Linked DNA regions of Canis lupus familiaris. The protein of the gene in region 3 purifies or fractionates together with the protein of the main gene of each other region. This does not show direct contact. Links are inferred from orthologs where the notes say so. Each region holds a gene or a part of one and is shown on either strand. Other genes may lie near its edges.

Region 1 (4,004 bases), on a different chromosome or scaffold from region 3:
TCTCAGTTCTAGAGTGTTCCCTTTTGAGTAATTCTGAAGCATGACCAATTAACGTGGGTCATGCAGAATTTATATGTATAATTTATGATATAATATCATAATTATTATATCTATCCCATAGATACAATCCAAACATATCTTAGTCTGGTACCCAGAACCAAAGTACATTGAACAATAAGACCTACAGTTAAGGTTCAATATTTTGTATTGCTGTGAATCTAAAACAGAGAGACTCAAATGGCCTAACTGTAAACCCTTGCTCCCCACCATACTCCTTATCACAGGGACCAGGCTCAACTCCCACTGCTTCTTGATTATTGGGCTTTAGGTCCCTGCCAGTTTACAATATTATTCAAATAAACTGTCACATTCCCATGGTAACCAGGGGACACCTCTCCCTCCCAATACTACAAAACCTGCCTCCTATAGCCCCTGCTTGTTCACTCTGTTCCTGAGTGCAGCCCCTGCATGGCCTTGCGTGCTGTGTGGTGTCCTCCTCCCCTGGGCTGTGACTATATTGACTAGTACACTGCTATTGATCTCATGTGTCCAGTGTTGGGGGGTGTTTCTGTTTCCATAATCCTAGGGCAGGAATCCTTCCCTCACCATGGAGGTGAAGGGGGAGCAATCAAAACAACAACCTCATGAAGTTTTTCCATCTTTGGAGTAGCAGTGATCTGAAGAACATTGTTATGAGTATCTAAGAAAAAAAAAGTAGTGCCATGGCTACTTATTGTACCTTGGAAAAAGCATGTTTCTATGAAACCTTTAGACTTATTTTTTTAGAGCAGTTATAAATTCAGGGAAGTATTTAAAAGTTATCCTTGAAGATGGACCCTATATTATGACAGATTGTTCTATTAATCGTTGTTGATAATTTCCCTTGCTGTACATTAATGCCCTAGTCCTCAGGAGAAGGGATTCTATCACCCAAACAGCCCTCATACCAGTTTACAGGAGTGATTCAACATGGGTGCATTTGCCTGAGGTTAGCAAGGAAGAGTATCTCTGAGGCCATCATACCCTTCCTCTTATGTGTTGCAGACAAATCTAGAACATGATGTTTATGAAAGACTCACCAACCTACAAGAAGGGATTATCCCAAAGAAAAAAGCAGCAACTGATGATGATCTACACCGAATAAATGAACTGATACAGGTTTGACTTAGCCGTTTTCCCTCTGATCATCCAGTTTATGGGATTGTCACTGTACAGTCTTACTTCTCCCATTTCCCTCCCTTTCACTAACATCTTGAGTAAAAACCTACTATTTGGGATGCCTGGGTGGCTCAGTCGGTTGAACATCTAATTCTTGGTTTTGGCTCAGGTCACAATCTCAGGTCATGGGATCGAGCCCTGCATTGGGCTCCCATGCATTGGGCAGGGAGTCTGCTTAAAATTCTCTCCCTCTCCCTCTGTTCCTCCCACACACTCACCCACCCCCTAGCTCATGCACACTTGCTCTCTAAAATAAATACATCATTTAAAAGAAAAAACAAACTACTTTAGCTTGCATTACTAAGAAAGACCAAAACATTTTTTCCATGTGGAAGCCTCAAAATGGTGTCATTCTATAAGTGAAAAGTTTTTTTGAAAGCCTGGTGGTCTCCTGATTACTGATTGGTTATGATGTTTTATGTTGCAGGGAAATATGCAGCGGTGTAAACTTGTGATGGACCAGATCAGTGAGGCTAGAGACTCCATGCTTAAGGTTTTAGATCATAAAGACCGTGTCCTGAAGCTTCTAAACAAGAACGGGACTGTCAAGAAGGTGTCGAAATTGAAGCGAAAGGAAAAAGTCTAGACCCAGAAGAATCAAGACTTTGAAAACAGAATTTATGAAGAATGATGGTAGGGGTGGGGGGAGGGTTTTGGTTATTCTCAAAATGGAACATTGAAATAAAGGAAGTGTTCCTTAATTCACACAAGAAAGCAGAGGGACCCAGTGGCACAAACGGATCAGAGCTGTTCTGGCGCAGTGAACTCCATTCTCTCTTTCAGGCGTATCCCTCTTAAACTCGCTGTGTCATAAATGACTCCTGATGCATCAGTGTCTGCCAGTTAGAATCAGTGACACAAATGAATGGCTGGTGGTTTTCAGCCTTCTGGTTTATAAACTGTATTTATCTGATGGATTCCTGCAGGACCCATACTGAGCCCGGACTGAAAGTATCCACTTGGACCATCTGTTATCTCTCTACACTGAACATCAAACCTCTTCCCCTCATCCCAGCCGGTTCTTACTCTGTCTGACCTTCAAATGCCTGAGCTGGCCTTTTACAGCAGTGCCATGGCATCGAGAGACTTGCCACATCTCACACTCTAGAGGGTTTGAACTATTAATTCTTGTCATTTTTTTTTAAAGAACCATTTCAAAGTGAAATTGTTATATCGTCTGTCCCACGTGTGTCAGAGTTGGGTTTTTGTGGAGGTTCAGAGCAGGCAACATCTGAAGTTGCTCTGAGATCCTTGTTCTGAAGTACGTTCTTGGTTATTTGTACTTCTGTAGCTGTGTGATGCTGTTAATTGTATGTACCGCACATCTCCAAATGTTAATAAAGGACTCAAAGAGGTTTTTGTACATGAGCAGTTTGCATCTTTTTTATAAAGCAAATCAGTGCTGTGCTGATCACCATGTGAGTGTATATCCTACTGTAATTTCTTACACATTGTTGAGAGTCTACTCTGCTAAAGTTTTGTTATTCCACATAAATGGGTTCCATTTATCCTGGTATTTTGAAGCTGTCACAATGGTTAAGTCTGTTGGCTCTTGGTTATCTTAAGTATAAAACTATTTTGTCCCATTGCAGCTATAAATTGGTCAAATTATAGGACAATTAAGGCTGCAGGAGTTGGGGTGGAGCTGCCACAGAGGGTGGAATTTCTTCACCAGGTTACACTTGCTTCTTCTGAGCTACCTAAATGGTATAGTCTAGGCTTGCTTCCTTTGAGTATAAGCAGGCATCCTTCTCCTTCTAGCTGAATGTTCTTCCTTAGACCTTGTGGTGCCAACTCTGCCTGGAGCTCTCCTCTTTGCTCTGACCTGAGTAGATTTAAGACAAGGAGTCTGTGCCAGTTCTGACCAGGTCTCAGGGACCAGCGCTCTTACTCACCTGAAACAGACTTCTGCCCTGTGTGCCCTAGGCTAGGAGGTCCTAGAAATAATCATGGCTGCTTCACTAGAATGTTTCACTGAGATATAGAGCCAACCTTAAAAGGTGTTATTGGTTGTTTTTGCTAAACACCAGTCTAGTGTGCTAGACTGTTAGAAGAATGTTCTTTTGCCTCCGTTTTTCCTGTGCACACTACTGCCCCAGTCATCTCATGTGGTGTGCTGGCTATGATTCAGGTACTTGGGATCCCACATTATTGACCTGTATTCTCTAAAAGTCACCGCAATTTAAACAAAATTTAGATAACCCTGGTCAAAGGAAGCTTTTCAATGTAGCTTAGAACAATAGCATTTTCAGTATTTCCTTGCCTTAAACAGAAGTTGGGAGAGTCTTGTCTGCATACACTGTGTTGTTTAAAAACAGCTTTATTGAGGATTAACCTACAATAAACTAAACATCTCAAAGTATATAGTATGATAAGATTCGATGCATATGCATGCCCATTTCACCATCACCAGTCAGGGCGTGGACATCTCCATCAGTCCCAGTGGTTTCTCCTTGTGCCTCTGATTTCTTCTCCTTGCCCCTACCTGCTTCCCCATCTTCAGATAAACATTATTCTGCTTTCTATCACTAGATTAGTTTGCATTGTTTGGAATTGTATGAGTGAAATCATACAATGTATTCTTTAAAGGAGAGACTGTGGTTTCTGTGACTCAGCATAATGGAAATTTATCCTGAGATGTATCCTTTTTTTAGAGTTCATTACTTTTTGTTATTGAGTACCAAGCTCTCCACTGCATGGATGTTCTACAGGTTTATCCATTCACCTGTAGAAAGACATTTGGGTTGTTAGCAGGTTTTGGTTATTACAGATACAAGTGTTCTGTA
Region 2 (4,726 bases), on a different chromosome or scaffold from region 3:
CGTGGGACTTGATCCCAGGACCCCAGGATCATGACCTGTGCCGAAGGCAGATGCTTAACCCAGGTGCTCCATGTTTCAGTTCTGAGGAATAATCTGTGTATCAGAACAACCTTCATATGAAAAAGGCTGCAACGAAAAGTACTCAGAGCCCAAGCCACCAATGGGAGAGAATGAGGACTGTGCTCTTAATTCGCTAATAATTATTAGTGATGCATTGGATTAGTGATTGGTGGGGTGTTTTTTAAATGGGAAATGGCAAGAAATGGTGGGCTGACTATGAAATACTGAGCTGTGGCAGGAAAGGACCATAAATTGATCCTAAAACAGGCTGATTGTAAACATAACGATAGCAACAGCAACTGATAATATCACACTTCACAGATTCTAACAATCCTAAAACCTTTTGATCAGAATCTAATGGCAAACTGCCAATATGAAATTTAAAAATATATTTTATAGTACTTTGTAGTACTTTATTTTATAGTACTTTATAGATGATTACAGTTGTAGACGTTTTGAAAGTTAATGCACTAAATCATACTTCTTAAAATAAAGATTTTCTATTTAGAATCTCAGAACATATACAGTGCATTTTTATTAAAGTATAACATATGTGCATATTTTTAAATAAAGCATAACTTGGCCATCTTGAATATCTAAATATACCCCAACAGAGGTTGAATTGTGGCTTAGAGAAGCAGAAACATTTGTTCAATACTTACAACTCTCTGTACCTATTAATGTAAATTGGCTCAAATCATTCGTAGAAGTGAACAAGTTATTGAGAATTTACACAGGAGTAATTCAAGACACTACAAATGACACTCAAACACATCTTTTTATTATATACTAAATTTAAAAATACAAATCTTATTAAAAATGCTTATGAAACATTGTATACATAAGTACTGTCAAATACTATTGGATTATGACATTATGTACATTTGCTAAGGTTAATTAGAAACAGAACAAAGTATATAACTTTGCTGATAACGAGTTTCAGAAGTCAAATATTTCAACATTTGGCAACTGTGAAGTAGTGATCTGCACAGGAAGATGTTTGCAGAGGTAAAAGAGTAAGAAAACAAACGGAATAATGCAGATATTCCTGCCCTAAGTGTTAATAAGTAGCTCTCTTTCTCATCCTCTTCAGTCTCATTATAACAGAAATTAAAGTGCACAAGACCACCAGGAAAACTTGATTTGGTTGTACCCTAATATATACTACAGCCAATTGTGCTGCCATATTGAGGGTTTCAATTCTTTGTACTGTTCCTGAGGTTTTAGAAATTAATTTTGCATGTGGCTAAAGGAAGAGAGGTCAATACTTTCTAAATTGCACCAAGTGGCCTTATTAAAGTGTAGAAACACCAAAGATAAAAATATTAATTTGGGAATAGATTCAAGAAAATTATCCCTGTCTAGTTTGCCCTAGGAATAAAATTAAGATAAGAACCTAGTTTTACCTCTGGAAAATGCTTACTAAAAATCTGTTTCAAAAGATCAGACATGTACAGCAAGCACCACAATACTGTCAGTTACTATTCACCACTTATATACTGCATCATAAATACCAGGCATAAATACCTGCCCTCTAAAGTTCACAAGAAATACAGGTAGAAGCTTGTTATTACTTGATGCTAATTTTACTAATTAACATTAAGTATAATTTGTAAAAATAGGTCACCACCATACAATCAAGGAAGAGGAGAAAGAAAGCTGCTAGTCTACAAAAGTGCTCCCTTTAAGCTTTCAAACCCAATAGCTTAATTTTGGGTAAAACAAGATTGTAAAGAAAGGCCATCAGTTCTAAATTAGCTGATGATGCCATATATACATACTCACGTATATATGTTTAAATCTCAATTCTGATTTAACACTAATGTACTAGTACAAACCATTTATAAGAAACATTTTATCAGGCTTATTTACAAACACAGTAAATGACAAAGATGTGAAAAATCAAAGAAACTGCAGACAAATATAGCCATTTAGCAACAGAGTTCACTAAAGATAAGACAGATTTGCATAATGTTTTTAAAAAACAAAAAATTTAGTAAGAAACCTCTACCGTATATACCTATTGGTCATTGGACCTAAAAGGCAAATAAATGTAATGATCATGATTAAGTTTTTATTACTGTCTCATTGACATATCAATATGAAGTCTACTTAGAGTACTACCTACAAATACAGTCTCTCATGATTTGATGAGAATATTAAGTTATTGAATACATTTTTAACTCCCATGGCACATCACACTTGATAACACTAATAAGGTAGCTTTAGATAACACTTAAATCATGATTATGAATGTTTAATTGAATATTTTCCTTTCTGTAGCTGTGAAATGTAAAGCTTAGATTTGCTTCCATCAGGCCTCTTAAACCAAACTTCATCATGGTTAATTGTTGTAATTACAGCACTAAAAAGGGGGGGAAAAAAGGAATGAATGAATGAATTGCAGTACACCTCCACCACTCATTTTAGAGTATAAGCCATAAAATCAGAATAGCTGGACTGCAAGAGTGGATTCAGGTACATAATTGTCATTTACCACAATGCTGCACTACCAGCAGGGCACGCGGTCAAAAACACCAGAGTCGGCAACACTTAAGAGACAGTCTCCTTTCTTTCCTTAATAGAATTGGTCTTATTTACTCTTAGAACTATTAAATGCACACTGTTTCTACTACATTCCCACACCAACCCATCCCCCAAAACACACATTGGAGCCAAAAACACTAATTATATACTTTTACACCTCCAATTTATATCACCCCCAGCTGTAGGAAATATTCCAGTTTTTTAAATTATTTTTTTAAATGCTTTAGTTTTCCAGAGTATCCACTTATTTTAAGTTCTTATTTAAATTTCAGTTAGCTAACACATAGTGTAATATTGGTTTCAGGAATTGAATTTAGTGACTCATCATTTACGTATAACACCCAGTGTAGGAAATCTTAAAAATACCAATTCCTAATTGGTATTCGTAATTCCCGGTGTCAAACCATTTTTTGGTACTTACATGGATTCTTTTTGACACTACTTTATCTTTATGTAGAGATATTTTTAAAAATAGATTTGTGTTTAATCCTCTTGTACTATTTCATCTCTTTTTAAATCACATGCTAAGTAATCAGTAAAATGTCTTAAAAGCAATAAGATAAAGCAAAAGATCTAGGGGTATCACATAGAACCTAGGAATTAGCTCAGTGGGCTTCTATGAGGAAAATTACTATACACAATACTTCTAGTATCCTAAAACTTTACAGATGAAATTACAGTCCAAGTAAAACTACTGTATTTGGAAAATGAGTATTCTTCTTTAAATAGAAAACACTGCATTAACCATTCATACCTAGAAAAAGATACTTTCTTACTGAAGAAGGCTATCACTCAGAATTAAATCCTAAACTACTGAAGGAACAAAAGCAGTAATTAGCATTAATATTTTCCAAAGGCTACAACCAGTTAAAACTTAGAAGGCTATAGCGGCACTTGGTTGGTTCAGTCAGTGGAATATGGGACTCTTGATCTCAGGGCTGTGGATCTGAGCCCCATAATGGGTGTAGAGATTACTTAAAAAAATAAAATCTCTAAAAAAACACAAAAACTTAGAAGGCTATATAATTATGTAAACCTTATTTAAGCTTAGACAGATTGAGCCTTTTAAAAAGGCAGCTTTCAGTTTTCAAATTATACTGTAATTCCTGGGACTCTTAGGGTATTTTCGTTAATTTACATTCCTTTCCTACTCTAATTGATACATACTGTAACACATGCAAAAAAAGTTAACGATTAATATGTCCACCCAAAATGCCTAACAGGCTGGTTTAAAGATCATAATATTAAAATCCTAACAATTCATCATCTACTTTAAGAACAAATAGCACTACTTACCTGGCTAAATAATTCCAACATTTCTTCTTGTGTTAATGCTTGTGCTCAAGAACTTAATACGTGACATTAGTCTACAAATATTAACACTGGTATACACACATGCTAACCAAATCATATGCCAAGAGAAAAGGATCTTTAAGCAACTAATGAATGGTGTATTATGAATGCACTACAGAGGGGGCAAATATTTATTGACAACAGTGTTATAAACTATAATACTGAGCAAAACTGAATGATAATTTTTACCTTGTAGGACATTCATCTTTTTTATCAATACATATTGTTTGTCCACGTATATACCATTCACCATCATAATATAATCTTCCTTCTTCAGATCTAGCACTATGTAAATGTTTTTCCAGTTTCACAGGTGCTAAAGGGATCAGTTCAAAAACTGTTATATTAATAAGATATTGTCAGAACAAAAGTGCAGAACATTAACACCAGTCCATGCATATATGTGAAAAAAAACCACTAAAAATATTTTAGATAACAAAGGTAAATGACAGAAACAAGAGAATTTCTTCATTTCCTATATAATTCACAAAGTTTTTAATATAACTACAAAATGAAGCTATACAATGTACAATAAACCATTAATTAACTAGGCAAGTGCCAGAAGGGGAAGCAGGTACATTATCAGTTACTAGTGCCAATTTTAAATAGGATTTAAAATATCATAATTCCAGGAGTAGTGTTCACTGATGAAATGAAATGGAGGCACTGTTTAGTATGTGGATGACTTAGCCCTGATTCAACAAGTCTTCACAGACAAGATTCCTAAACGTAGATCAAATGACTTACGTTCTGTTTTCACTCTGTG
Region 3 (4,544 bases):
TTGTAGTTAAGTTTTGGGAGAGTCAAAAGCTATATATGAATTTCCAACTATGTGATTGTTAGTGCTCCAACACCTGCATCATTCAAGGGCCAAATGTAAATCTTCAAATGGTTATAGCAAGAACAAAGACTAGTATTTTATTTTTCACCTTATTTTCTAGTCACCCAGAACACTTAAAAATACAGACTAACCTTCTAATGAACCACTACTTTAGATGTAACTACGTCAGTGGTTCTTCACCATGAATGATTTTGCTTCCCAGGGCATGTCTGGCAGCATTTAGTGATAGTTTTGTTTGTCACACCTTCAGAGTGCTCTACTGTGGACTGCAATGATGCTGCTAAAACTACAACACACAGGACAGCCTCCCATGGTAAAGAATTATCAGGCCCAAATATCAACCTTTGAGAGAAATCTTGAGCTACATTAATGTTCTGATCCATTTTCAGCCTAAAATCTGCACCATGATCAAGCATATTAACTAAAGCTGTTGTTGTTTTGATGTCATAAGCTATAAATTTGATTTGCAATTATGAGAACTTTAATAGAAAACTGATAGAGGATGAAATGTAAACAAAAGTAGAATATAAATCAAGTCAGAGCTATATCTGAACCAAAATTTAAAGATCTTATTAAATTTCTATATCTCTCAACATACTAGTTTTACTTTGCAATGTAAACAGTACAGGACATGACTGAAAATTAAAGGGTGCTGCAGAACTTCTATGTTCATGCCGTATAAACACCTTTTCTCTAAGATAAAACTTAAAGAAACAAGTAAAACTAATTCTACATTATTTCAACTTTCAGCACTGTGTTTATCTTTGCTGGCACATTAGTCTTTGTTGGAAGAAGGTAGGCATATAAATTAAATCCTTTGATCTTCCTAACTTTATCAAGTAATGATTTTAAAAAAAGGAAATAAAAAAGAAACTGCACTCCAGTGGAAGTCTATTTTTCAAACCTGTTATCACCAAAAAGCACTTTAAAAAATAATGCTAATTTTTAATTCCAAATGAGATTGTCCCAGAGAAAGCAAATGTGCTGCATTTGCTACTTCTCTTAACCTTCATTTCTTGAAATTTAAAATTAAAAATAAAATGTGGGAACAAAGTGATCTTTACATTAAACTCTTAATTAAAACTAGTTTTAAAAAAATCAAATTTCACAAAATAAATACACTGAAACAACTATAATAGTAATCACCTTTATTTAAAATATTTTTTTAATCTAGGAAAGCTCATTTTACACGAGTTTCCAACTAATTATTAGAGTCAGAAACAAAGAAAATAAAACCAGAGAAAATCCTCTGTAAAAAAATACACAAGGAACATTTCTACATGTGAAAAAACAGTAAACAGTCTTAACATCTGAACATCCAAGTCTTAGTCTCAATTCCACCTCTCCTAGTGAACACCACTATCAACCTTGAGATCTGATTTGTTCTTGTCATTCTTCACTGAGTAGATGAAATATGTTAAGGTGTCTTTTTCATTCACTGGAATAGACCTAAAGTGGCAACCAACTATCTAAAAAAACAAAACAAACAAACAAAAAATTGAAATTGAAATTAAATTATAGATATTAACAGTTATTATACTAGGTAAAAAACACTTTTATCAAAAGAAAAAGTGCTATAAGAGCTATTTCCTTTAAATAATAAACTATTTACAAAATACCAACAAGATGAAAAGCATATAATTAAGATATTACGAACAAGAGAGAGGGTGATTTCACAGGACCCTCCAACCTACTCAATTAAAAAGACATTAGAATGTGTTATTTCCTTTTATTTATTTAAATTTTATAACTAGAATCTATATTAAAAAGTAAATATTTTAAAACTTTAAATATGAATGAAATAAAACAAAATCTAGACCCTACTCACAGGAAAAGGATAAATAAATATTTAAGTTGAAAAACTGTTGGTACTGTAGAAACAAACCATAGAATATCTTACAAATATATTTGCTACAATTTATATTCATTCATTCATTGGCAGTACTCTCTGTTAAGGTTCCTTGAAAGTTTGTCTGAATAAATATGGATAGAAAATGCGAGGAAAGAGAGACATTCGCTGAAGAATGTTTATCTGCTTTCTGGCTTTTTCTTTATGCTAATCTAACACTACAAAACCAAGAGAAGTACAATGGACTAAACAGGGGTATTGATATGCCTATCTAGAATGTAAAGACAAAAAAAGTCTTAATGAAAATGTTATTCATACGATAATTAAGAGATTTAAGGAAGACAGTTACCTAACTCTGGAATCATTCCTAAGTGAACTATTAACATTCATGGCCATTTGGATTTTTTTCTCATTTCTAAAGAAGAAAGTAACTCTAGAAATAATATAACTTTTTAAATATCAGATTATCAAATATTTCAGGTGTGACTAGTATACTTAAAAAATATGTATTACTGACCCTGTACAACACAGGTTTGAACTGTGAGGGTCCACTTACACACTTTTTTTTCAATAAATACAGTATTGTAGATGTATTTTCTCTTTCATACGATTTTCTTAACATTTTCTTTTCCTTAGCCTACTTTATTGAGATTACAGTAAGAATAACTATAACACATATGACATATAAAATATGCTAACAGACTATGTTATTAAAAAAGCTTCCAATCAATAATAGGCTATGAGTAAGTAGTTAAGTTTTTGGGGAGTCAAAAGTTATATGCAGATTTTTGACTATGCCCCTAGTCAAAAATGCATTGTTCAAGAGTCAATTGTACTTCATATGTAACATTTAAAATAATCAGTTTTTGAGTTCACATTTGTCCCAAAACAAAGGTACCTTCCACTTGATTAGTATCTGTATATATATAGATACAGTTTCATCACAGTAAATACCCATGTTTATCTTTTATTAATATACTATACAATCCAAAAAGGGCTATATTTTTTAAATCAAATTTAAAGAAAAACTGAATTTTTGTTGCTTGGGCAAGAAGGAAAGAGGAAATTCTGGCTAAAAAGTCAGTATATTATATCTTAACGATGTTAAAAAAGCATTCTGCCAAAGAATTGTACCTTCTGTATCTTTTACCTTATTCGATATGCGCATTTTAAAAAACACTGCATTACTAAACACAAGCTGAAAAATATGAGAAAACTGACTTATATATTTACATTTCTATTCTGTTGAGTAGATTAAGTATTTTTACTTAAAATGATTAAAGTACAAATACATAAATCTGTAAATGCCTTGATTCACAGATTTCTTGGTTCTTTATTAACTCCTGAAAACACACATATTTCAAAATTTACAAAAAGACTAAAAGTTTTATATCAAAGCAAACTAAATAAAACCTTGGATAAAAGTCTTTGCATCTGGGGTGCCTATGTGGTGGAGCTAATGAAATGTATCCCTTCAGCTCAGGTCATGATACCAGAGTCCCGAGTCCCTCTCACTGAGCTGCCATCAGGCTCCCGGCTCAGCAGGAAGTCTGTGTCTCCTCCCTTTGCTCTTCTCCCTGCTCATGCTCTCTCTCTCAGATCTCTCTCAAGTAAATAAATAAACTCTTAAAAAAAAAAAAAAAACTTTGCATCTTCCAGATGTGAAGGCATAGATGCCTCTAATAAAACAAGCTAACATCACCAAAGACAAATTCTGAAATCGTTAAATCAACAAGTTATAGGAATACTATTTATGGGCTAATCTGTAGACCTAATCCATCAAAAACTCAAAAAATTTATAATAAAGACAACAAAGCTTATCAATTTCTTTTATTATGCCTCAATAAGGTATTCAAAAAATGCTTCCTGAGTGGAATTTTAAAACCAACAGATTTCTAGAATGAGAATTTAAAAATTATTACCCGCTATTTCTGAAAGCCAGTATTAAAAGATATTTAGAAAGCTACATACAATCCACTGAGTGGTTGTTACATAAAGCAATTTAAGAGACAGACAAACATTTCTAGGAAACTAGATTCTTCCACAATAGATTTTTTATTAACTGATCTTTCTAACTGAGCTGTATTGTTATACGTACTACATTAACAATTTCATTAGCCTTTAATAACTTTTTTATATAAACAGGCTCATTTAAAACTTCATAAATACCTCAACAAGTTGTGCTTTATTAAGTCCTGGTCTGGTTGATAGTTTGAAGTGTCTTTTGTATCTCCGAAGTGTATTTACTTGTAATTGGTATAAATCAACCTAGAAAAAATAAACATGTAAGAATTAGTTCATGCAATTTTTAAATTGTTATCTTTGATATGCATAATAGCATTTCAATTTTGGTACAACAAAAATGTAATTAAGTAACAAAAATTACATTATTTAATTAATTCCATTCCATTACTTCTTTTACATAATCAAAACTACAAATATATAGAGCACTTCAATCTTTTGAAGGTAAATACTGAGAACTGGGAGCAAAAAAAGAAGGCAATAGAGGTATAAGCATTGTGAATTGAAAACATAAGTCAAACTACAACTGCCTATTAATTGGCTATATTTAATTTTGCTTTCATTTTCAGATTTTTCGCATTAAGTATTTTTAAAATTTGTTCCTATCTTTTAA

The links.
Region 1: the proteins of SAP30 (region 3) and SAP130 purify together in Homo sapiens (affinity purification with mass spectrometry; 4 studies listed by BioGRID and IntAct, with this or other methods). This does not show direct contact. The link is inferred for Canis lupus familiaris from reciprocal best matches to the Homo sapiens genes SAP30 and SAP130.
Region 2: the proteins of SAP30 (region 3) and BRMS1L purify together in Homo sapiens (affinity purification with mass spectrometry; 4 studies listed by BioGRID and IntAct, with this or other methods). This does not show direct contact. The link is inferred for Canis lupus familiaris from reciprocal best matches to the Homo sapiens genes SAP30 and BRMS1L.

Annotation. Positions count from the first base shown.
Region 1 is NC_049240.1:24,027,131-24,031,134, forward strand, and holds the end of SAP130 (histone deacetylase complex subunit SAP130), read left to right. Parts: intron 1-1,044; coding exon 1,045-1,158; intron 1,159-1,645; coding exon 1,646-1,804; 3' UTR 1,805-2,586; downstream 2,587-4,004. UniProt on the Homo sapiens protein: Acts as a transcriptional repressor. May function in the assembly and/or enzymatic activity of the mSin3A corepressor complex or in mediating interactions between the complex and other regulatory complexes.
Region 2 is NC_049229.1:14,676,572-14,681,297, reverse strand, and holds the end of BRMS1L (breast cancer metastasis-suppressor 1-like protein), read right to left. Parts: coding exon 4,708-4,726; intron 4,298-4,707; coding exon 4,150-4,297; intron 2,426-4,149; coding exon 2,308-2,425; 3' UTR 820-2,307; downstream 1-819. UniProt on the Homo sapiens protein: Involved in the histone deacetylase (HDAC1)-dependent transcriptional repression activity. When overexpressed in lung cancer cell line that lacks p53/TP53 expression, inhibits cell growth.
Region 3 is NC_049246.1:24,123,992-24,128,535, reverse strand, and holds the end of SAP30 (histone deacetylase complex subunit SAP30), read right to left. Parts: intron 4,178-4,544; coding exon 4,079-4,177; intron 1,530-4,078; coding exon 1,407-1,529; 3' UTR 1,192-1,406; downstream 1-1,191. UniProt on the Homo sapiens protein: Involved in the functional recruitment of the Sin3-histone deacetylase complex (HDAC) to a specific subset of N-CoR corepressor complexes. Capable of transcription repression by N-CoR.